Linked DNA regions of Rhinolophus ferrumequinum. The main gene of each other region encodes a partner of the protein of the gene in region 2 in a complex. Links are inferred from orthologs where the notes say so. Each region holds a gene or a part of one and is shown on either strand. Other genes may lie near its edges.

What was found.
Region 1: the proteins of TAF4 (region 2) and TAF12 are in contact, whole or in part, in a crystal structure (PDB 1H3O), measured with the Homo sapiens proteins. The link is inferred for Rhinolophus ferrumequinum from reciprocal best matches to the Homo sapiens genes TAF4 and TAF12. Residues at the interface, in NP_003176.2 of Homo sapiens: Phe872, Leu873, Leu874, Pro877, Leu878, Arg880, Arg881, Ile882, Ile885, Gly886, His889, Gly890, Ile891, Thr892, Glu893, Leu894, His895, Asp897, Val898, Tyr901, Val902, His904, Ala905, Thr906, Gln907, Gln908, Arg909, Leu910, Gln911, Leu913; in NP_001128690.1 of Homo sapiens: Val57, Leu58, Thr59, Lys62, Leu63, Leu66, Val67, Glu69, Val70, Glu74, Met83, Leu84, Ile87, Ala88, Asp89, Phe91, Ile92, Glu93, Val96, Thr97, Cys100, Ala103, Arg104, Ser108, Ser109, Thr110, Leu111, Glu112, Val113, Lys114.
Region 3: TAF4 (region 2) and TAF11 share a complex: the UniProt entries of both Homo sapiens proteins name them as parts of the TFIID basal transcription factor complex. The link is inferred for Rhinolophus ferrumequinum from reciprocal best matches to the Homo sapiens genes TAF4 and TAF11.

Annotation. Positions count from the first base shown.
Region 1 is NC_046292.1:19,654,881-19,662,399, reverse strand, and holds the start of TAF12 (transcription initiation factor TFIID subunit 12), read left to right. Parts: upstream 1-4,400; 5' UTR 4,401-4,488; exon of another isoform or gene 4,489-4,558; intron 4,559-7,519. UniProt on the Homo sapiens protein: The TFIID basal transcription factor complex plays a major role in the initiation of RNA polymerase II (Pol II)-dependent transcription.
Region 2 is NC_046306.1:1,375,923-1,383,868, forward strand, and holds the start of TAF4 (transcription initiation factor TFIID subunit 4), read left to right. Parts: upstream 1-4,864; 5' UTR 4,865-4,909; coding exon 4,910-6,077; intron 6,078-7,946. UniProt on the Homo sapiens protein: The TFIID basal transcription factor complex plays a major role in the initiation of RNA polymerase II (Pol II)-dependent transcription.
Region 3 is NC_046286.1:4,993,747-5,001,814, forward strand, and holds the start of TAF11 (transcription initiation factor TFIID subunit 11), read right to left. Parts: upstream 3,120-8,068; 5' UTR 3,015-3,119; coding exon 2,844-3,014; intron 1-2,843. Other genes in the region: ANKS1A (ankyrin repeat and SAM domain-containing protein 1A), read left to right, coding at 4,458-4,645. UniProt on the Homo sapiens protein: The TFIID basal transcription factor complex plays a major role in the initiation of RNA polymerase II (Pol II)-dependent transcription.

The DNA.
Region 1 (7,519 bases), on a different chromosome or scaffold from region 2:
CTCTATTTTATTTATTTACTTAGTTTTTTTAAGGAGGGTGCAGCTCACAGTGGCCCATGCCAGGATCAAACTGGCAATCTTGATGTTATTAGCACCATGCTCTAACCAACTGAGCTAACCTGCCACTCTGCCTCTATGTCATTAAAGGAAAAAGTTAGAGGGAACATCAACAGCTTTAGGAAGGTGAAGTTATTGAGAGAACATCAACAGCTTTAGGAAGGTGTACACTTGTTGTAAGCCTGGTTAAAAGGAGACTTTTTTACAAAGTCAAAATTTTAAATGATTCCAGCAGGAAACTGGGAGGAGTCGGGACATTTCTTCCGGCCGCATAAAGCAGGGTGCTCTTGGAGAAATCTACTACCCCCCTAGTAGTTACTTTGCTTAAAGTCTCAATTCCCTGATGGGTAAAATGGGAAAATTTGGAAGTGCTCTTCGACTGAGAAAATCAGCTGTTTCCACGACAGAAAACTCATTAACCAGCTTTCACCCAAACACGCAAAATACCACTTACAACTAGATATCTCAACCCATGTATGACAAAAGTGTAAGTTACTTTATGACAATACGTGTTACACGAAAAACGATTAAACACGTTAGGAACAACTATTTTTTCTAAGTAACCTTAAAACAAGGGCGCCAGGACCAACGATCACCAGCTGCCCAAGTATCAAAAAATTATGCTTCCGAAATCTCTTGATGTCGATTCCGCACGCAGAACAATCAAGCTGCTCTGCGTGTGCCACTCACGACAGAAGCCCTTTTTGAGATTCTACTATACGAAAACAAAGTGGTGACGTTGGCAAATCCCTATTTTGATAAAGGTGAAAAGAAAAAAAAGTATATGTAACTTCCTACCCCATATTCCTGGAGTTGAGGAGGAAATTTCAACATCTTCTGAGTCAGAGGGAAATCTTCACAAGGAAACTATATGATTTGTCTTTTCATTTTTATTCAGAAGCAAAGTAAAAAAACAAAAAAAACAAAACGTGGTTGATATGCAAATAACGCAGTGCTTGCTGGGTAGGTGCAAGCGGACGCAGAGGAAGAGACCGAGGTTGCTGGAGGGAACCGAAAATCTCTCCGCGCTGCAGTGGGCGGGGGCAGGGCGGGGGCAGGGCGGGGGGGGGGCGTCGCTCTTGCAGTCAGCTGCGTGGAAAAACCCGTTTTTCAGGAGCTGTGGCTATCTAACTGGGCAAGACACGAATCCACCCTATTAAAATTGAAAATGCATAAACTTGTGCCACTCCTACTCATCCACCTTGAAGCGGCCCCAGCACGCGAGCACTGGAGTCACGGGATCATCGTAAGAGCGAAAAACGCAGCAACCTAATCTTCACTGTCACAACAACGGATTAGCAGAATGTGGTGTGTTCATAAAGTGGAATGCTATCTGCTGCACTTTCAAAGAGTGTCATACATAAAAAAACATTGAGGTTAAGAGTTGCAGAATACGGTACAGCATGATACCATGAACGAAGGAAAAAAGCAATACTGCACTTGGAATGATTGAAGTATATCTTTAACAGATATAAAAAAATGAAAAGGGTGTTGAATTGGGTACTGCATGATACCATTAATGTAATAAAGTGTATACACGTGTGCCCATGAAACCCAGTGTTACATAGTTTTTCTAGGCCCCATATTTGTATTAACTTTCTTAAAAAGATCTGGAGGAACACAAAATGATTACCCCTGGGAAAGAAAGAGGGGATCAGGATGGGGGCCACTACGCACAAGACTAGATTGACTTGTAATGTTCTAATTTTTAAAAGGCATAATGGATTATTAGTGTAATTTTAATACTTGTGCAATTAAAATATAGGCCTTGCTCTATATTTTCTCCATTTATTTCATTTTTTAAAGTTAGGCTTAGTGAGGTATAATTTACATACAGTAAATTCACCTTTTTATCATACAGTTCTGTGAGTTCTAACTCATACAGACATTTGTCCATTACCACAATCAAAATATCAAACATTTAGATCACCCAAAAAAGTTCCTTTGTCCCCTTTCCTAATCACCCCGTCTGGATTCCCAATCCTGACATCAAGTGCTCTTCTCTGGCTCCATAGTTTTGCCTTTTCCAGAATGGCATAAAAATGGAATCACTCAAAGAATGAAATCTTACCATTTGCGACAACAGGGATGGACCTAAAGTGTATTATGCTAAGTGAAGTAAGCCAGACAGAGAAAGACAAGTACCATATGATTTCATTTATAATGTGGAATCTAAAAAAACAAAGGAACAAACTAAAACAGAAACAAACTCATAGATACAGAGAACTGATGGTTAACAGATTGGATGGGTGGGGCTGGGTGAACAAGGTAAGGGGATTAAGAAATACAAATTGGCAGTTACAAAATAGCCACCGGGATGTAAAGTACAGCTTGGGAATATAGTCAATAATATTGTAATAACTGTATGTTGTCAGGTGGGTACCAGATTTATGGGGGAATCACTTCATAAATTATATAAATGTCTAGCCATTACACTGTACACCTGGAACTAATATAATATTGAATGTCAAATGTAATAGAAAAAAATTTTTAATGGAATCATTCACATATACTTCATGTTTAATATAAAAACAATAGGCATGTGTTAATTGTAAAGAAATACAGACAGTACAGAATTGTAAGAATGCCTTCCCCAAACTACTAACAGTTTATAGTATTTACCTTGCCAGACTGTTTTCTATGTATACATCATACATAGATTTTTTTAAACAAAAAAATATAGACTGTTAGGCATTTTACTTTCCTTAATATATTATAATATGTGGAGGTCCCTGTCCTCTACAACGTAGAAGCTGCAAAGAAGGGACTCATGTAAACGGCAAACACTATAATAGGAAGCAGATGTGTAGTATACACTGGTGGGAAGTATATATGGGTACTGTCAATTGGGTCTGTTGGGACTTCTCCTATAATCCACCAGTCATCTCTTAAAAACAAATCATTTCACACCTCTGCCTTCCCATTGCACCATAAAATCGCATGTCCCCACTATAGCCTACAACGTCCTGCCTGACCTGACCCCTGCCTGCCTGTCCAACCTCATTGCCTGCCACTCTCCCTATCACCTCTTTAAGTTCCAGCCACTTTAGCCAGCTCTTTCCTAGCAGCTCAGGGCCCTCCATCACTCAGCTTGATAAATCTAGTTTATTCTGGTATTCTCTCCTCTTACACTTTTGTTTCCCACTTCAGACTGTAAACTCTCTAAGAATATCGTCTGTCTTCTAATAGATACCCAGCACCTAGTTAAAATCTTGGCGCACAATGAGCACTCTATTTGTTGAATGAATGTACATTTAAATTGGGTCTTAAAAAAGATGGATAGGAGTACAAAAATAATAAATGGTATGCCAGAATACTAGAATGAAGAGAGCAGTGGCAGGGAAGTAACACCAGGAAGATGGCTTGGAGCCTAATGGTGAAGGGGCCTCAATTTTGTGAATTTGGAATGGTGGCAGAGTAAGGGTAGATTGGAAATTTGGTGGGATGAGGATGGGAAGATACAAAGATACCTAGGGCAAGTTGCCGCACAAATCCAGGTCCGAGGCAGCTCTTCCTGATTCCTGCTGGCAGTTACCAACACTTGCTCTGGGCTATCCCAGCCCTTTTAACATTCCTTTGTTTCCCCATCTTAGTGTGGGACCAGGGATTCAGACGGAATTTAGGCGGAACCGGGTCTTGTTTACGTGCTTAGCATCTGATAAATGCAGCAGTTCTCACCAAACATTTGACGGATGGAATAACTGAAAGAATCTGTTTAATGATTAGAGGACGGGTTCAAGAGGATGAGTGAGAATTCTGAGTTCAAGTTGAGACTCAACACTTACTAGCCAGGACCTTGCTTTATCTATCACAAGTTTCCTTTAAAATATTAAATGATTTATTGGAGGTGAGGAGCTTGGCAAAGTTCCTGGTAGACAGTAAGCGCTCAATTACTATTATTAATTGCCCATTCACAAGCACAACCAGTCTCTTGTCCCAGGTTCTTGTGCTGCCAACTCCCCTGTCGGGGTCCAACACAATACCTATGAGTACTGCTGTCCCAGTTAATATCCCACGTCCTGCTCTAGCAACAAAGCCACCAACAAAAAACGGCGACCTCTAAGCCATCACAGCGTGTCAATTACCAGTCACGGTAGCAATATATACAACAGGCGCAGTTGGAAAGAGACGGCTAGGGCAGGGTTCGTAACGCTGAGCTCGCCCACGCTTCCAGTTAACCACAAGCAGGAAAAAGCCCAACCACTGGAGCTCAGCAACAGCCCAGGACCGCGACCACGTGTCGGAGGGCAGTCTGCGCGTGCGCAAGCCAGGCGCGCGCCCGCCGGCCGGAAGAGCTGCGCGTTTCCGGGTTGGAGGCGGGGAGCGGTGCCGGAAGTACTCGGGGAGGGCCGAGCAGTCGGACCGGCTGCTGAGACGATCGCTTCTCTGGGGCAGTCTCCGCATATCATGGGGAGATAGACGCTGCTGCCTGTGAGTCTTGGGCCCTGGCAGTTGAGGAAGAAGAGCGGGAGGAGGGAGTCAGGACCCAGACCCACAGTCGGTCAGTGTTTGAAGAGCCAGGTTGTGGAGGAGACGGGGCTGTGAGGAATCAGGCTCTTGGGACGGGACTGAGGGGATCGGGGCTCGGAGAAGACGCGGCTGTGGGGACCGGGGATGCCGACGGGACTTAGGGAACGGGGACGGGTATGAGTTCTCCGGCACTTGAGGGAAAGCGGTCTGAGAGCGACAGGATTGTGAGGACCCGCGCTCCTAAGAGGAGAGGGTCGGAACGGAACGGGGCGTTAAGACACGGGCTCCTGAGAGCTAAAAGCGAAGCTTGTGAGGACTTGGGCTCCTAAGAGGCAGAAGCGGGACAGTGAAGACCCCGGCTCCTAAGGATTCAGAAACAGAGCATAGAAGACTTAGATCCTTGAGAAGTAGAAGCAGTAAGAGAACTCTTGGGTTTGGGAGGAACAGGAGCGGGCAGTGAAGACGGGCTCCTGTGAGGACAGGATCGGGGCTTGGAGACTCCGAAGTACCTGAGGGAACTGGGCTGTGAGGACCCGCACTCCTAAAAGCGAAGAGTATAAGGGGCCGTGGTTGTGAGATCGGCCTCCAAGGGAAAGGGAGAGAGTTGGAAAAGATATAGTGATCCTTTTTCCCCCCCGTATTCTCTGAACCTAGAGTGGTAAAGGATGTGTTCGGGGGAAGGCGACTCCTCTTTCGCTCTGCCTATTTGGCGTTTGGCAGGCTTTTCTTGTGTAAGATACTTGAAATCTAGGAATCCCAAATGCAAGCATCTTCATTTTCTGCTTCATTCTTGCGAAGCTCGGATGTGAAGTTGAAGCAGTTTGAACTCAGTTATATACTTGATAAGTGCTTTAAATCCCATTCCACTCAACCCTGATTGAGCACAGATCTCTGCATCTCAAATAAAAGAATGTGTGAGATGGAAGGGCCCAAAAAGATAATCTTTTTTAAACTCCTATTTTACATGTAAAGAGGCTAAGGTTCAAAGGGGCTTAGGATCACAGTGATTGAGTAAATCATGATTTTGATACAGTACCCTGCTGTACATAGAAATGGAAGATGATGCTTGGTTAATATCCCTTGAAAACATGCTTCTAGAATCTTTGCTCTAACTTCAAACTCAAGAGGGAAATTTTTACAGATTTCTACTACTTAATTTGGAGTCTTGTAACTGTATTGACATTGATACAGTGCATATCACTATCATTTAGGAAACCTTTAAATGAAGCCCACCCAAAATATAGTAAGCCATTTGGAAAGTTGGAGATAAGTAAGCTCTATCCTATATTTTTAGCACAAGCATTTACTAGAGATGCCTGCTTTTAGATAAGGTTGTCAGGGAGACTTGGATCAGTCATGTCCCTTCTTCAATAATATCTTTTACTGAAACCTACTTAGGCTAACCAGGCACCACCATAAACACTTTCAAGTATTAGTATATCATTTAAGTATCACTTACAGCCCCACAAGTTAGATATTGTTAGTCCCATTGTACAGATAAGGAGATAGGTTCAGAGACTTTAAAGTACCATGCCTGAAATCACATGGTACTGAGTGGCCCAGCCCTAGTCAAACCCAGTTGTGTTTGATTAAAACCTTTTCCTACTTTTCTAAGTGGATTCCTCTCCATATCTCAGTTTGCCCATCAGCAAAATAGAAGTAATAATTATACAAAGCATATCACTGAATGAAAGCACCCCCTCCTTAAGACTCATGTCAACTACTATAACTTATTAGGGTACTTATGTAGTGTGGTGTTTAAGGAGAACTAAATTCCTGTGATTTGAAAGTATCATGGATATTCAAGATAGAAAAATGGGACCTGAATAGAACTTTTCCTCACAATGGAGCAAGATATATTTAATTTTAAGTTTAGGAGGCCAAGAAAGACCACTTTGAAGAATAAAGGCTTACATTTCATTAACTTTATAATTAATTGTAACATGAACTAGATGATTGGGGAAAATGGTCTAACTTAGTTGAAACTACTATTTTCCCCCAATGAGTTAGCCTACACTATTTGCAAGTGCCTATACTTATGCAGATGATGAAAACTTACACCACATTATGAGGTGAAACATTCCCATACCACCATTTCAAAATACTTGATGGTTTAATTAATGATAATTTGTTACTGAGTTAATATCCTCATCTGCATTTACAAAGTATACTTATTTCACTCATTGGTGGTTCTAGCATTGATTTGAGTTATTATAGCAGGATTTCAAAATTACCTGATCAGAAAATCATTGTGTTTGAGCAGATGTGGCCATAGGACATATTAGTTTTGACCTGAGGTCTTTGTGGAAAGCCCGCAAATACTTTGGAGGCAATACATCAGCCGTGCATGCAGTCTGCACTGTGAAACAGGTCTGTTGGAGGCAGAAGACAAACTTTGAAATCTGTACATATGGGCTTAATTTAAAATCTTACACTAATTGTTAGAATTGGAAGGGACTTTAGAATTTGGCTGTTCCCACTGTAGAAACTCTGGTCAAAGGGTCCTCACATAATTCGGTGGCAGAAGTAAGATTGTTCCCAGCCCTCCAGACTTGGGTCTTTGTTGAGCCACAGTACCTTTTATCAATCTCCTGTTGACAATTTGCCACTGTTTTTTTTCAATCCATTTTCTTTTTTTAATGTCTGAGGTCATAAGAATGGTTATAGGATGCCACCAACACATAGTAGGATGAGTGAAACCTTTTAGTTTTAACACACTGGTTTTTATAAATAAGATTTAGAAGAGGAGAGCGTATATGTAATATTAGCAAACATGTTTAGAACATGTTCTCTTTTGTGCTTACCATGTACCACACACTCTTCCAGTGCTTTAGATACATACATTTAGTGAATTGCCACAACTCTCCCATGAGGTATACTTTATGATTAACTCTGTTTTACAGATGAGGAAATCGAGGTATAAAGAGATTAGATAACTTGTTCAAGGACATAAGGTTAATAAGTGGCAGAGTTGGTACTTGAACCCAGACCC
Region 2 (7,946 bases):
ACCCCCTCAGGAAGACAGTTATTAAATTTTCATCCACACCTCACTGGATAGTTGACCCCTGACTTCTAGGACCTGAGAGTTTAGTTGAGGTGCTAAAACCTGCAAGTATAAAGTAACTTAAGTACATATGTCCATGAGACCACTTCTGAGTACGAATCCAAAAGAACCGAAAGCACGGGCTTGAAGACGTATTTATCTGCACACCCGTGTTCACTGCAGCACAATTCACAATTTAAAACGTGGAAGTGGGCACAAGTGTCCATCGACGGATGAACGGATAAACAAAGGGTGATTTACCCACACCATGGAGTATTATTCAGCCATAAAAATGAGGGGAATCCTCATTTTTACGTGTCCTTCAGGACAAAATGCTCAGTGAGAGAAGCCAGCCACAAAAGAACAAAGACTGTGCCATCCCACTGTTGAATTATCTGTTTCTCTGTTTAACTCTGTCCATCTTTGCTTCACGTATTTGGAAGCTGTTATGAAACTCCTAACAACTTAGGACTTTTGTCTTCTTGATAAGATAACTGTTTTTCATGATGCTGTGTCCTCTTTTATCTTGACAGTACTCTGTGGTGGTCTACCTTATCTGGTGTCAATATCGTCTCTCCAGGCTTGGTAGGCATACTATTTGTATGATTTACATTTTTTAAAGTGCCTCTCTTGAAAATAGTACATGGCAGACTCTTGCTTTTCTTTCCTTTTGATGGAAGTGCTTAACATTTAATGATTAATTTGGTGGGATTTAGGTCTATCATCTCTGTTTTAGGTTTGTTCCTTCTCAAATATACTTTTTTGCTCCCTTTTGGATTATCTGAATTTTTTAGCCATCGATTTTTGTTTGTTGATTTTTAGCTATACCTCTGTGGTTTTTTGTTTTTTTTTTTTCTTTTTTGGTGGTTGCTTTAGGGATGACAATACATCTGAGCTATGAAGTAAGCTCGTCTCTGAGCTACACTAGTGAAATCCACCCACGATGGCTGTATGTAGCTAGCCATTTTTCAGAGTCAGCCTAGAGACTGGTGTGATTGAGTCATTCCAGAGTTTGCAGACAGCCAGCCCCCATCCTGGAGCTCTGGGTCAATTTTGGAGAGGCAGCTGGCCTGGCTCTGACTCGAATTTAGGAGCGTGTATCGAACTGGTGGTGTCCTGCTGTTTGAGAGGCTTTGTGGACAGAGGGGCCGGTCAGCCCAGGGTGGCAACCTCGAAAGAGCAGCTCTGACGTCTGTCGCTTTAAGGTCCGAGCCCTGGGTTTCTGCCCCACTTGGGCTGTTGACTTGACCTTCCCAAGCCTCAGTTCCCGCCTCTGCAATTCAGGCTTGGCTTAGCACGGGAAAGTCTCAGTGCGTCAGTGTGCTTATCATGGGTGGTCACCCCAGCAGGTTTGAGCATCGTCACTTTCTTGGCAAGGCAGGACAGGGAGGGGACTGTCCTGATCAGTGGACTCCACTGCAGACCCATCGAGTCACAGGCTGGTGTCTCGTACTCCAGCCTCTCCCGCCCACTTCCTGGGGCACAGGAGCTGGTAAGGCTGAAGAGGGCCTCGTGATTTATCGGATAGGTCTTTTCTCCATAGTGGACAAACTAGTCATCTGGTACATTGGGTTGAATAGTGTCCCCCCAAATTCATATCCAATGAGAACCTCAATGTTATTTGGAAATAGGGTCTTTGTACATGTCATTTTGGATGTACGGTGGGTCCTAAATCCAATAACTGGAGTCCTCTTGAGAGGACAGACACACAGAGAGAAGCTACGTGACTAGGATAAATGTCGGTTAAGTCCCCATTGTGATAATGCTCTGAAGACCCTAAGAAACGAACGTGTCGCTGCTCACAGATCAGTTAGGTGTTCATGAGCTTGTCCCTGGCTGTGGGTCCACGCTTAAACACATCCCACTGAGCCTGCAGCACTGCCGGCAGGGGTGGGGAAGTCAGCCAGGTCGATAGGACTCTGGGGCACTGGCCTGCGTCACTGGCCATCTAGATAACTGCATGTCTTTTTTTCAAAAATGTTGTTTCATTATGTAGTATTTCAGACAGACAACCAAAGCATGGGAAAGGTAACAAACATTGCACATCTTTCACACAGCCACAGCGAAGTTGAACTTACTGAGTCTTTGTTGTTTATTCTTGTCTTTCAGCGAGTGTGTCTGATGCTTTCTGTATTTTATTGAAAAGACAACAGACTGCTGAGTAAGAAGCCCACACAGCTGCCTGTTTGCCCAGGGCCTGGCACATCTGCAGTGTGGCAGGTGGCAAGGACGTCCTCTTTTGGGTTCTGCCGTTCTCACAGCAAACATTTTTCTGCGTTTAAGCGTGGTGTTTATATTTACTCCTTTCTTTCCTGTTTTTCTTTTTATGCTATGTGGGATTTTACTTTCAAGCTATGGAAGTCAAAACTGCTTGTGGAAGCAAGTGCAACCACAGAGATATTCAAAGAAAATGGCCCACGTCCCCAGGGTGACCAAGGTTGGCAGTGTGTCCCCCACCAGCTTTGAGGGAGGGGAGGAGCCAAGTGGCTTCTGTACTCCTCTTGTTCACTCTCAAAGTGGGCAGTGCTCTGGAGGGCACCAGTACAGCTGCTAACTCTAACTGGTCTGCAGCTCCTACCTTTTCCTGGGGATGCAGAAGGCCCACCCCCCCAGGGAAGTTGGGATGGCAGGGGGCAGGGCACAGACTCTTAACCTCCCACACTTCCTGCTGGACTGGAGGGTGCCCCAGAGGACTGTGGGGGTGATGTCAGCACAATGCAGGAAGAGGCCTGGTGCAGAGGGGAGGGGCTGTGGAGGGCATCCAAGGACGCCGAGCCCAGCTTTTGGAGGCCCGGGGAGCACACCGGGTTGGAGGGGTTCTGGTGGGCCTTCAGGGAACTCAGGAGTTCACCACGCTGTGGGCAAACAGGAGCAGCCTGAGATGGCACCCGTGACCTTTCTCTACTGAGGATTTGCGTCATGTAGCAGGGGCGGGCTTAAGAATGGGTCCCCTCCCCCACAGCCACAGGCCTTGGAGAGGCCTCTGAAGCTGTGTTTCACTTCCTAGAGGCATCCAGCGTTCTGCCTGCTAGCACCCCTGATTTCCATCTGAGTGTTTTGATTTCTATCTGAGTGTAGACTATGGTAGACCCTCTGCGTTTCCTACGACACATGTTGCACCGAGGGCCGAGGTTGGTTTGCTGACGTTTTTGTCTGGTCCACTTTAAAATGTTCTAACTAGTTGTCAACATTTAAAGAGGACAAGCGGTTACACACAATTCCACATTTCTGCTCTTGTTTAAGAACTAGACTACCAGCCCAGGCTGGGTCAAGGTACGCAGGCACCCAGTTCTCCACCCCAGGGCGCCCCTGAACCCTGGTAGTTCCTTTCCTTTCCTGTCCTCTGGGTGCTAAAATTCCACTTATCCTTGGAGGATTTACCTGACACTGTCCCCCGGGGAAGCACTTTTCCTGGACTCCAGTCCCTACTGCTCTTTGGGAAGCTGGGGAGGGTGACCCAGAAATCAGCCCAAGGGTTTGAAAAGCTGCGTGGAGCCCGCACAACAGCCCAGCTGGATGGGCCTTTTGTTAGCGTGGCTGGAGAGGACGTTTACTGCCAACTGTTTCCCTTATTGTGCTGAGGTCTGTGTTACCGGGGCCACAATCCCTTCGGCAGGAGCCTGCTCCTTTGATCTCCCATTTTGCCAGTGAGGCCTGAGAACACTTCTCTCTGGGCTTCCCCCAAAAAAGGAGAAGAAATACCACTAAAAATGTCCCAGAACACCATCTTTTGGTGAAACACAAAGAACCAAACCAAAACAACAACAACAACAAAAAACAAACGCAGAGAGAATTTTCTCTGAAATAGTTTATAGAGGCGCTTGTAAACATGATTTGAGATGACTTACAGGAAACGAGGAACAGAAAGGGCCCTCCAGATCGGACTGCTCCCTATCCAGCTACCGGTCCCCGCAGGCGCGGTTGGCTCACCTAATAATTTATAAAAGACACTCGTGTCTGGGAACCGTGAGGCCGGATGAAATGACAGTCACTCCGGAGAGGCCTCAGGCTGACTCAGCCGGGGACCGGCCTGGGTCGGGGCGCACGGGTCCTCCGGCCCGCGCCCCGCAAGCTCTGCAGTGGTCCCCGCGCCCGGCCGGCCGCCGCACGCTTCCTGCGCGAGCGCCTAGTAGAGGACCCAGCGCGTTCGCCCCGCCCCGCCCGGAGCAATGGCGCCGACGCCGGGGCGCCTTCCCACCCTGGACCCCTGCCCCCGCCCTCCACGAGCGCACGGTCACCGCGGGCGGCGGCTCGGAGGGGCTCCCGGTCCCCGGAGCACGGCGTCCCCGCGCCCTCGCCCGCTGGGCGCCCAGTCAGCTCCCGTCGGCTCCGGCCGCAGCCATTTTGGAGGCAGCGGAGACAAAGAGCGAGACCCCATCGCCGTCCCCAGCAGGCCTCGGCCGCGATCCTAGCCCGCCGCGGCCTCCCGCGGTCGACCCCGGGCCCGCCCGGCAGCCCGCACCCCCACAGCCCGCAGAACCCCGGCGCCCACCGCCCGGCCGCTGTGCCCGGACGCCCGCCCGCGCCCCGGCCTCTGCCGCTCGCAGCCATTGGCCGCGCCTTTTAAGCGCGCGCCGCGACCAATGGCGAGGCGCCCGGCTACCGGGCGGGGGGGCACCGCGGCCAATGGCGAAGCGCCGGGCGGCGGGCGGGGGCGGGCGCGCCGCCGCGCCTGCGTAATGCGCCGCCGCCGCCCTCCCCCCGCGCCGGCCGCCCGCGCCCCCCGCCCGGCCGCCGCCCCCGCCCCGCCCGGCGCGCGCCGCCCCCCGCCCGCCCCCGCCGGCCGCCAGCCCGCCCGCCCGCCCGCCCGCGCGGAGCCGCCTCCCCGCCCAGCGCCGGCCGAGCGGCGGCGGCGGCGGGCCGAGGAGGAAAGATGGCGGCGGGCTCGGATCTGCTGGACGAGGTCTTCTTCAACAGCGAGGTGGACGAGAAAGTGGTGAGCGACCTGGTGGGCTCGCTCGAGTCGCAGCTGGCGGCCAGCGCGGCCCAGCACCACCACCTCGCGCCCCGCGCACCCGCCGGCGCGCTCGGGAACCACGCCGGAGCCGGAGCGGCCGAGGGCGCGCCCGCCGCGGCGCCGGAGCCGCCCCCCGCAGGTAGAGCGCGGCGCGGCCTGAGCGTGGCCGGAAGCCGGCCGGGCCCGCGTCCTCACCGCGCCGCCCCGCTTGTCCCCGCAGGGCCGGCCGCCAAGCTGAGCGCTCTCGAGGCCAGCGCGCCGCCGGGGCCCGGAGCCGGGGCCTGCTCGGGACCGGGGGCCGCGCCCGCGCCCGCCGTCAAGCCCGCCGCCCGCAACGGCCCGCCCGGCGGCCCCGGCGCCGCGCAAACTTTGAATGGGAGCGCCGCGCCGGGGAACTCGCCGCGCGCCGCCGCACCTGCCGCCAGCCTGCTGCTCAACGGGCCCGCCGCCCGCACGCCGCCCCGCCTCGGCGCGCCCGCCGCGCCCGCGCCCCCTGCCCCCTCACCCCCCGCGCCCCCCGCGCCCGCTGCGCCCGCTGCCGCCCCGCCGCCGCCGCCGCCCGCCGTCGCCAGCCTGGCCCGGCCGCCCGGTGCCCCGGCGGGCCCCCCGGCGGCCGCGCAGAACGGGGGCAGCGCCGCACCCGCCCCGGCCCCGGCCCCCGCGCCCGCTCCCGCCCCGGCCCCAGCGCCCGCTCCCGCCCCGGCGCCCGCCGCCAACAGTCAGCCCGGGCCCGCCGCGCCGCCCGCGCAGGTGGCCAAGGCCGACTCGCCCAAGACCGCGGCGCCGCCGGCGCCCCCGCCGCCGCAGACCCTGGCGGCCAGCTGCCCGGCCGGCGCGGGGCCTGGCATGATCCTCGGGCCAACTATGCAAGGGGCGCTGCCCGCCGCCGCCGCCGCCGCCGCCGCCGGCACCCCCACCGGGCTGCCCAAGGGCTCGGCCAGCGCTGTCGCCCAGAGCCTGCCCCGCACGCCCTCGGTCACCACCAGCGGGATCCGGGCCACGCTGACGCCCACCGTCTTGGCCCCTCGTCTGCCACAGCCGCCCCAGAACCCGACCAACATCCAGAACTTTCAGCTGCCCCCAGGTGAGTGAGCGACGCGCGAGTCTGCTGTCCCAGCTGGGAGTCCAGGAAGTTGTAGGGTCTGGCACGGGCCTGTGGGAGCCGAGCTGTAGCCGTGCCCAGGGGCAGGATGTCACCCGGGGTGAGAATGTGTTCTTGCACGTCCCGGTGTCCTGTGGCAGCTGGGGTCTCTTACCTGGTGCAGAGGTTGGTTTCAGTTTATGTCCTTGCCTTGCAAAGTTTCTGGGCCGGTGCTCACAGTTCTCCTCCCGTCCTCCGTGCAGTGCAGTGGCAGCAGGCGCTGCCGGGACACCTTGCTGGGTTATACAGGATGGAGAGACATGGCCTGGGTCCATGGTCTTCCCACGCTTGGCACTTCCCCTCTTGTGTCAGGGATCAGACATATGGTCTGTGTCCTCACTGAGCTTCCCTGCTCCTTTAGTTTCGGGGCTGTGATGGTGTTCCCGGTGGGTCGTGCAGAGTGACGTCCCCTCCTTGAGGCTGGGCAGGTCTGCATGGAAAGCTGCTGCTTCCCTCCTAACACCAGGATGACAGGCACCCCAGGTGAGCCCTGGAGGACTCCTGGGCACACAGCCTTCCTGGGATTTCAGCCCTTCCCATCCCACAGTGGGGTTCAGCTCCGTGTGATCACTTAGAGGACGCCTGGTTCCTCTGATCATGACCGTCCAGTGACACCAGCGGCGGGCACATGCTGTCCAGTCAGCGGGTCTCCTGGAGGGTCAGATGGTGCCGGACCTCACGGAGCCCAGCGCGCTCAGTGAGTCCACTCAGTTTCCTGTCATCTTGGCGCTTCTTTGCGTGTGACAGTGCAAGATCCCCCAAGCGTTCTGTGTCGCCGCTTGGTTCTGGGATTCCCAGGCAGAGGGAAACTCGAGCACTTGCTGTGCCATTTTCTCTCTTCTGTCCCCTGCACTCGTCAGCGTGGAGTGAGTGCTGAGCTTCTGGAGAGCTCCTCCCTGGCTGTGTAGTAACATGTGCTGCTGGAGCAGCTGCTGTGGTGGCAGAAGTAGTAGAAACAGCACCTCCGTGTCTCCTCGTGCTTGCTGGAAAGAGCATGGGTCACCCTGAAAAGGAATTTCAGCGTGTTAAGAAGGCAGGGTTTCCCTGTCCAAGTCAGTGAGCTTGGGCAGTGGTGCAGAGCGTGGCGGGGACCTGTTTCTGTACGGGCACTGGTAGAGAAAGGGTGCAGCCCCAACCAGGGGCTACTGGGGCACCCGTGCTTGAGGAGGAAGAGGTGGTGTGAGATGCCGCTCATGACATGTTGTGTTTGTTTCTGAGTTTGTCAGGGTGTTTCATTGACGGTTCTCTTTTGTTCGTTGATGTGCCTCCTGACCTGTAAGTGGAGAATGTATAGGCTGATCTTTAGTTACATTTAAAACAGGAAATTCGTGCTTATAGTTCATTATGTAAAACGTAGGATACTTTTGACCTGTCCACGGCCATGTCCTTTCGGTGGTCCTGTTGGCTTTAGATTTGTCTTTCTCTTACCAGGATGGTCCCCACATTCCGCTTTTGTTATTTAAAAGTGGGCGAGTTTGTCAGTGAAGTTTGTGAGGCAGGTGCTTGGCCAGGTGTGCAGGGGTGGTGAAGAGGCCGCTGGTGCTGCATGAGGCCTGCAGGTGTGGTGGTTTGGGGTTCACTGGATCCCCTTCCTCTGAGCCTCAGTATAGGTGCAGCCCCTGCCGTTTTTCTTCTGGGGGAGGAAGCTGTGGTTCAAAAAGGGTGTCCTGTCTTTGTCATGGGTGACCGTGGACTCACTTTCATCTCTGTTCAAATGTCAGTATTAAGGATGTGTTCACGTGAGAAGCAGACAACTCCTTGATAAAAACTGTAAAAACACTGACTCGTTGCGTGAGTTCTCATGAGTCTTTG
Region 3 (8,068 bases), on a different chromosome or scaffold from region 2:
TTTATCTCTCCCCACTAAAACATTTACACAGTTTAACTCATGCTAGATGTTTAACATCTGTTTAATAACAGAAAAATCAAAATCCAAACTTCATCCTCTCCAACTTAATACAGAATCTAAGGATACAACAAACCAATATTAAATCCTCATTAATGGGATTTAACCTTTGTTTTCCGTAAAAAGGAACTCACATTTAAACTCATAAAGGACTATGAGGGGTAGGTGAGAGTGAGTATAGTTTATGTCTAGCAACTTTTTCAATTTCTTCTCTAGTTATTGATTTATACAAGTTTTCTAACCTCTTTGTGCTTTAATTTTGATTTACATTTTCCTTAAAAATAAGCCGTTTTTATTAGATTTTCAAATCTATTGAAAATTAAAATTTGAACATTGAAATTTTTTTTATAACTTTATAGATCTCCATATCAGTGTGTATTGCCCTTTCTTATTTCATAATGTTGTGCATTTACATTCAAATAGCCAGGTCTTTATCATTTCTTATGTTTTGCAAGCATTAATTCATTAACATCTGCTTTTATTCTTATTAACTCCTTGTTCCTACATTCTTCTGGTTTATTTTTCCTTTTTCTTGGTTTCTTAAGTTGGGTGCTTATTTTCAATTTCTCCTGCTTGTTAATAAAAATACATAAGGCTAAGGCCGGCCCGGTGGCTCAGGCGGTTGGAGCTCCATGCTCCTAACTCCGAAGGCTGCCAGTTCGATTCCCACATGGGCCAGTGGGCTCTCAACCACAAGGTTGCCAGTTCAATTCCTCGAGTCCCGCAAGGGATGGTGGGCTCCGCCCCCTGCAACTAAGATTGAACAAGGCACCTTGAGCTGAGCTGCCGCTGAGCTCCCGGATGGCTCAGTTGGTTGGAGGGCGTCCTCTCAACCACAAGGTCAGCCCGCAAGGGATGGTGGGCTGCGCCCCCTGCAACTAGAAAACGGCAACTGGACCTGGAGCTGAGCTGCGCCCGACACAACTAAGACTGAAAGGACAACAACTTGAAGCTGAACGGCACCCTCCACAACTAAGATTGAAAGGACAACAACTTGACTTGGAAAAACAGGCCTGGAAGTACACACTGTTCCCCCAATAAAGTCCTGTTCCCCTTCCCCAATAAAACCTTTAAAAAAAAAAAAATACATAAGGCTATGAATTTTTCTTTTTTTCCCCCCCTTTCTTCCGCCTCCCCCTCCCTACTCCCCCCTCACTCCAGTTCCAGCCGCTGTTTCTCAGTCTAGCTGTGTAGGACACAGCTCCCTGGACCCTGCTGGTGTTATGAGCCTTGTGCTCCCCGGGACTGAGGCAGTCGGTTGCCGGTCATCGGTCAGCCTCTCACAGCAGCTCATGGCAGCTCTCGTCGGCTGCCGGCCATTCACGCTGACTGCCGGCCACTCATGGCAGCACACGGTAGCCCACAGCAGCTCACGATGTCCACGACCGCAGCTCACGATGTCCACGGCAGCACACAGCAGCCCATGGCAGCACACAGCAGCCAGCAGCAGGCCCAGCTAACCTTCTCCAGCTGCTCACCACAGCCCAGCTCCAGGGAGAGCTGTTGTTCACAATTTTAGCTGTAGAGGGCGCAGCTCACTGGCTCTTGTGGGAATGGAACCAGCCACCTCCCTGTTAGGAGCGCAGCGCTCCCACCGCTTGAGCCCCGGGGCAGGCCCCCGAATTTTTCTTTAAAAAGGTTTTGGTCAAACCTCATAGAATTTGATGTAGTGTTCTCTGTTAATTTCTTTAATCTATGGGTTATTTAGAAAACAGTTTAAAATGTCCAGGTGTTAGTTTTTTGGGGGAAGAGTGGGGGTAGGAGATGTTTTCTGTCGTTAATTTCAAGTGTATCGCACAGGATGTGGCCCGTTATGATATCTACTTTTAAGAATTTGTTTTTCTTTGTGGTCTGGTGTATGTGCAATTTTTAAAAGTGTTTCAGAAGCATCAAAAAAAATAATTTCATCTTCTGTTGGGTGCAAATTTCTGTATGTACGCTAATTATTATTCAAATCCTTTTTGTCCTTGAGATCCATTTTAAAGGTTCCTTCTAAAATAGTTTAATCACTTTTTTCTAAAAGTTCTTGCTTTATCTATTTTGATGCAACTTTATGCGCTGAAAGGCTGTTTCCCTCTAATCCAATGTCCTTCTCCATGACCTCTTGAAGTCCCTCACTCATGGCTCTAAGACCCCAAGATTCTATCTCTAGAAATGGAACCTTGAGAACGCTGAGATTCTGGTCCCCTGACGGATGCTCAGCTAGGTAACAACACTGCGGAGCTTTTGGGTGGCACAATTGATGGGTTTCGCGCGTTTATGCTACAGAGACCCTTGGACATTGGCCCCCAGAGGTAGCAGTTAAATGTCCCAAGAGGGGGAGAACGTGACTAAACCAGCAATTCTCTCAAAATCTCCCTTTAACGACTCTGCAGCCTATAATAAATAACAAAGTTATGCTTAAGCAACATCTTAATAGAAACCATATTGCGGTGAAAGGGATACTAGGGATCCTGGGTTCTAGCTCTTGCACCCTCTCAATGTGAATTTGGATCCCAATTTCCTCCCCAGTAAAACCAACAGGCTATTTAGAATTCCCTTAGAAGTAGCTTTAATCGCTAAGGGCAGGGATTAAAAATATTAAGCCAGTGCTTGGGTCTCCGGAACCGAACGGACACTATAGTTTTGTCTCCTCCTACCACCCCCCCGCCTGCGCGATTGCAGAGCTAGAGGGAGTCCTGGTGAGTTCGACTTCGCTTGGGAGGGATCGATCAAGAAGGTGGTCGAGCAGCCAGTAACACAATCTCGGGGTACTCCTCCAGCCTCGTCAACACCTCTCTGCCTACCTCTCCTTCCTCAGCCGCAGCTTCTTTCAAATCCCCATCTCCGTCCCCGTCAGTTTCCTCCGGGATTCCGTCCGTGTCAGTAGCCCCGGGACCCCCGGGAGCAGCGGCTGTCTCATCGGACTCCCCTGTCTCCCCACCCTTCTCCGTGGGCGACTCGCAGGCATTATCCATCGCCTCCAGAATAAGGGCGAGGAGATCGCGGTGCTGTCCCTCTCAGAAGCCCGGGACCTAGCGCGGCACAGCAGCCCAGAAGCTTACTTCCTGTCGTCGCGCTGCGATGACATCACCCCTACCGCTCCTCGGAGGGTCATTTTGAGGCGCTCCTGGAGGACCTCAAGGCTCCGTTTTAACTCAGATTTGATGGCGGTGGGGAGAGGGAAAATTAAGGGTAGGGAGTTTAGTTTGTGCATCTTCCATCCTGGGAAGCCAACCTTTGTAAATAAGTGCTGTGTTGTTTATCGAAGGATTTCTTTTTCTTTCCCGCCTTTCCGAAAACGCAATGTCGTTAACTCCTTCCTTAACCGCTTTCCTCAGAGTAAAGTTTGGGGACGGGAGAAAACTCAGTTCCGTGGTACGCGCGTGTCGTGGCGTGCGGCTACCTGGTGAACTTTTAGGCAGGGACTCAGCCTCCTAGTACACAGTTCAATTGGACAGAGTCTGCGGGCCTGTGTTTATACTGAATTGCCAGCATTTCTCTTTTCCTCAAGCACCTTAAAGTCATAGCTTGAACAGAATTTACCCAATCCACAACTACTTCGAGAACCTAATTCAGCCAGGAACGGTGCTCGTACCAGAAACAAAACAGACATAGTTTATACCCAATTAAATAATTTTCACACTTCACCAGTACTCAAGGTCAGGGTCAGTTTCACTAACCTGACTTTTCATGTCGGCTTGGTTAATACTATCAAAAGTAAGAGGAAACAAATTCCATCCGGAGGGAGGTCTTTCCTTTGACTGTTTCATTTTAGGAGCCATTTCAGGGGTTGGGAGCATGAAGTGGAGATGTTTCTATTTTAAAAATTTCCTGTCTTCCCTCACTGAGGTACGGGGCATTTTATTCACCTGTGTGTCATTAGGTCCCCACACTCATTACATATTTAATTTATGCGTGCGGAAAGAATGGACTAGGAAATGTAGGTGCGCGTTACCGTATTTCTCTCTTTGTTTCTACACTGCCTGGACGCATTACCGTATTTCCTGTCCTGGGGGCTCCCAAACCTTTGGGGAAGGAGCGCAGTTCTGGAGGCGCACACAGGTGGGCCCTGGTTGTTCCCTTCCACCTGTACAGCGGGCGCCCACAGGGCGCTTTTCTCTCGCCCCCGGAGGCCTACCTCGGCTCAGCCAAGTCCAGGAGGCACCGACCACAGCCACCTGCGTTAACCGCCGAGCCCCGCCCAGCTAGGTGGGTAAGGGGGCGGGGCGCGGGGGCGCGGTGACGCGTGACGCCGGATCCCGGAAGTGACGCGCTCGTGGGGGGGCCTGGCGGGGGGGAGGGGGGTGGTGTCCCCGGCCGGTTTGGGGGGTGCGTTGCCCGGAGACGGAAAGTTTGGGAGACCGAGCAGGCTCGGCGACGGCCCCGGGAAGGGGGTCCAGGGGGCGGTGGCCCTGGGGATGGGGAAGGAGCAGGAGCTGCTGGAGGCGGCCCGCACCGGGCACCTCCCGGCGGTGGAGAAGCTGCTGTCCGGGAAGCGGCTCTCCTCAGGCTTCGGGGGCGGCGGCGGCGGTGGCGGCTCCGGGGGCGGCGGCGGCGGCGGCGGCGGCCTGGGCTCCTCGAGCCATCCCCTCTCCAGTCTGCTCAGGTGGGTAACGCGCCGGGGCCGGGAAGCCGCCACGAGAGCCCATCTCCACCGTCTGTCCCTTGGGTCCCCAGAGAGATCGAGGGTCCTGAGACCCGGGTGGGGTGGCTTTTCCGGGTGCCCCGGGGCGAAGGCAGGCGGCCCACGGGGCGAGGGTCGCCGGTGCGGGTCCGAGCGGCGCCGGGCTCTTCTTGTCTCGCGTCCTGACCCGGCTGCGAAGAATGGTGGGAGTGCCCAGGTGGCTGCCTCCGCCGCATGGCACAGCCCGGCTTCACCCTCGCCCGCGATAGGGTGCCAGCTGTCGTGTCTAACACGCCACTTCGGAGCAATATATGTATATTTTAAATCTCCCTCACCTCCTGCAGAAACACCCGCGTCTTGCAGAATCTCGCGGCTCCCCTGGAGGAAATTACCCTGATTTCCTTCTTCTGGGAACTTGGAACCTTCCACTGGGCTCTGCAGGATCTGGCTTTTGTTGTTTATGTTAAAATTGTCTCTGGATTTATCACGTCTAAAGTGTTCTTTGAGCTCCCCTGGTGCTTGAGGCTCACATTCTGGTTCCTTGTAGTGAACCTCATTGGGTTAGTCTGTTAAGTGGCATATGCAGGACGCATCAGGGGGTTTACTCATCAAGAAATAAAGCTTTAGAAAGACTTGGTTAGGAAACTATCCAAGGAGGCTTTAAACTTTTCCAAGGTCTGTTGTTAAAATAAACACTTGAATCTAAGCTGTAAAGACTGAGAGAAGAAGGTCACTTCTGTGTGGCTTGGAGGGGGGATTGTCAGTGAGTAAAATGTGATGGTTCAGCAGCACTTTCATAGCCTGTTTTCTTTTCCTTCCTTGTTCTTTTGAGGTTTTTAAGAAGTGGAAGTTCATTTAGAAATGGCTTGGTTTGGTTTTGTTCCCCATTAGTTTATGTAACTTCAATTTGGGTAAGCTTGGTGGAAGGAACCCTCAGGCTCTAATAAATTGTTAGGTATTAAGCATTGAGTAGGAACCAAGCTCTCTACAGGAAGATTTGAAAAGGCAGTTTAAGAGAAGAACTCTCCTTAGGAATTCTTTGGGGGAGGCAAACCATATGCTGCAATTTCTGCAGCCCGTAAGACAATTTTGTCACACATTTGGTACTCAGGATTTGTTGAGTAAATAAAAGTATCAAAACGATACATTTCTAAATAAACTGATGGTGGTACTCAGACCGTAATTGTTAGTTCAGAGAAATGAGGCATCACTTTGGGATGAGGTGGAGATCAGGGCTTCCAGGAAGAGAGGAACCTCAGCTGGTTTTGAAGGAAGTGAGGATTCGTCTGGTGAAGTAGAGTGAGAGTGGTCCAGGTGGGCACACCCGTGATCGCAGGCAGGGAAGGGGAAAAGGAGCCTTATTTGGTGTGAGGGGGACACCAGAACTTCCTGACTGGAGCCTTGACCGGTTGGGCACGATTAAGGGAAATGATGATGGATGGATCAACTTCCAGTTTTCAGAGTGACTTAGTGTTTCTCATGTTTATATTCCCAGTCCCTAGATCAGTGCCCGACAACTCACCGGTGTTGAATAAATGTTCTTTGAATGTGTGAATTGGGTTTTGAATCTTCCCCGGATTCCTTGGACATTTCTGCACTTCTGATGTCTGAGAGATGAGAGAAAGACCATGCAAGTTTGGAGTTGCCTGTCTCTTAATGAGTTGAATGATGTAGCAGTTGGAGGTTTGCCAGAGGGACCTTAACGCCCAGTGTATCCTGCTGAAGTGAGAGACTTTCGTCTCCTGCCTTCAAGTACAGGCCAAGTTACTCTTAGTGCTCTCACTCAGAGACTGTTGGAACTTCGGCTGAGGAGTTAGTTAAGCGAGACTAGGAAATCTTTGTTGAGCACCATGTTTTCACTTTGGGCCTTATGTTAATAAGTGTGTCATAAAGAGTGGAAGGTGGTGTCTCCATTCCCTTGTGTAAGGGAGTTCACTCCTCCTGACCTGCGTCTGTGTCTGTTGTAGACGGTTGATGGCCTGAGAGCTGGCCCAGCTCTCGTCCCTGTGACTCCTACGGGCAGGGAGGATCTGCAGGCACTTGTTACACTAGGTGTGTCATTAATTAGAGGTGACTCTGGTTCAACCTAGTGAAAGATTTCTGAGCAAATGAGACCATGCATTTAAATAACCCCTAGGTCAGCACGTCCTGCCTTTTTAGGTTTGGAAATAATAGAGGGTTAGGTCCACGATGCCCACACTCCCCACCTCGGGGACCCTGGGCTATTTAGCAAGAGCTGCGGAATGACAGTTTCAGAATGGGCCTTTGCTTTAGCTGCCATATCCTACCCCCACTAGTATTGCCAACTGCGCTTACATTTGTCCAGCTGTTTGAGTGACCAAGTAAAGCTGGCAGGAATAGGAGCTTACAGTCGCAGTGGATATAGATGTTCCACACCACATGTGTGTTTGTCTATTCATCTATTTATTCATCTGTTCATCTAGTCATCTACTTATGATCCCTCCCCCGCCCCCCCGCGCTCCACTGCCCATTCCACAAAAGCTTTGTGCTTATTCTTAAGATACAAAATGCTCCTTCTCTCACCTTATCCCTTTGCTCTTACTCTGCTTGGGCTTGGTCTTAACTTCTTACAGCCCTCCCTAACCACCTTAATACACACAGATCTCTCAAGCTCCTGCTTCTTTGGATCCCGTCATCTGCGGTGTATAGAAACTCGTCGACTTATGCTTTGCCTGGATTTCACTGTTTATTGCTTTGGCCTGTCAGTATAACGTTTACGTAAAGTAACCCTCACCAGTTGAGAGCATACCTGAGAGTCAGAAAGTCAGCAAAGAATACTTCCAGATAAACAAAAAAGTTGTTGTAAACTTCATGTCCTCTTGACCTTCCCTTAGTTACTGTACATGCAGAGGCAGGATAGTATCAGGCTTAAGGCCTCTTGTTCTGGAGTCACACTGGCTGGATTCAAGTTCCACTGCCATCACTGACCAGCTGCCTGACTTTATACAAATTACTCAACCACTTTGAACCTCAGTTTCTGCATCTGGAAAATGGGGATAATATTACCCGTCTTACAGGTATTGTCTTAGATAATGTGTGTAAGAAACTTACCACAATTTCTGGCATATTGTGAGGGCTCACTGTTAGCCCTCAGTTCAGTTCAGCACGTCCCGTTTGCCATGTTGTACCTGCTGTGTGGGAAGTACCATGCCAGACACGTTTCAGTGGTGTTCTTTCACACGTGGGGATCTGTTTTCCAAGCCATGGCAGATTGGAAACAGTCACTAAGGGAGAGGACTTGCTCAGGCAGGCACGTTAATGCCATTCACTTACCAGATGTTTACCCATCATCTCCTTGTGCCAGGCCCACGGCTGGATGCACTGCAAAGTTTATCTCAGACCCAGCACATAGTAGGTACTCTATGAAAATTAGTCTCTCTCCCA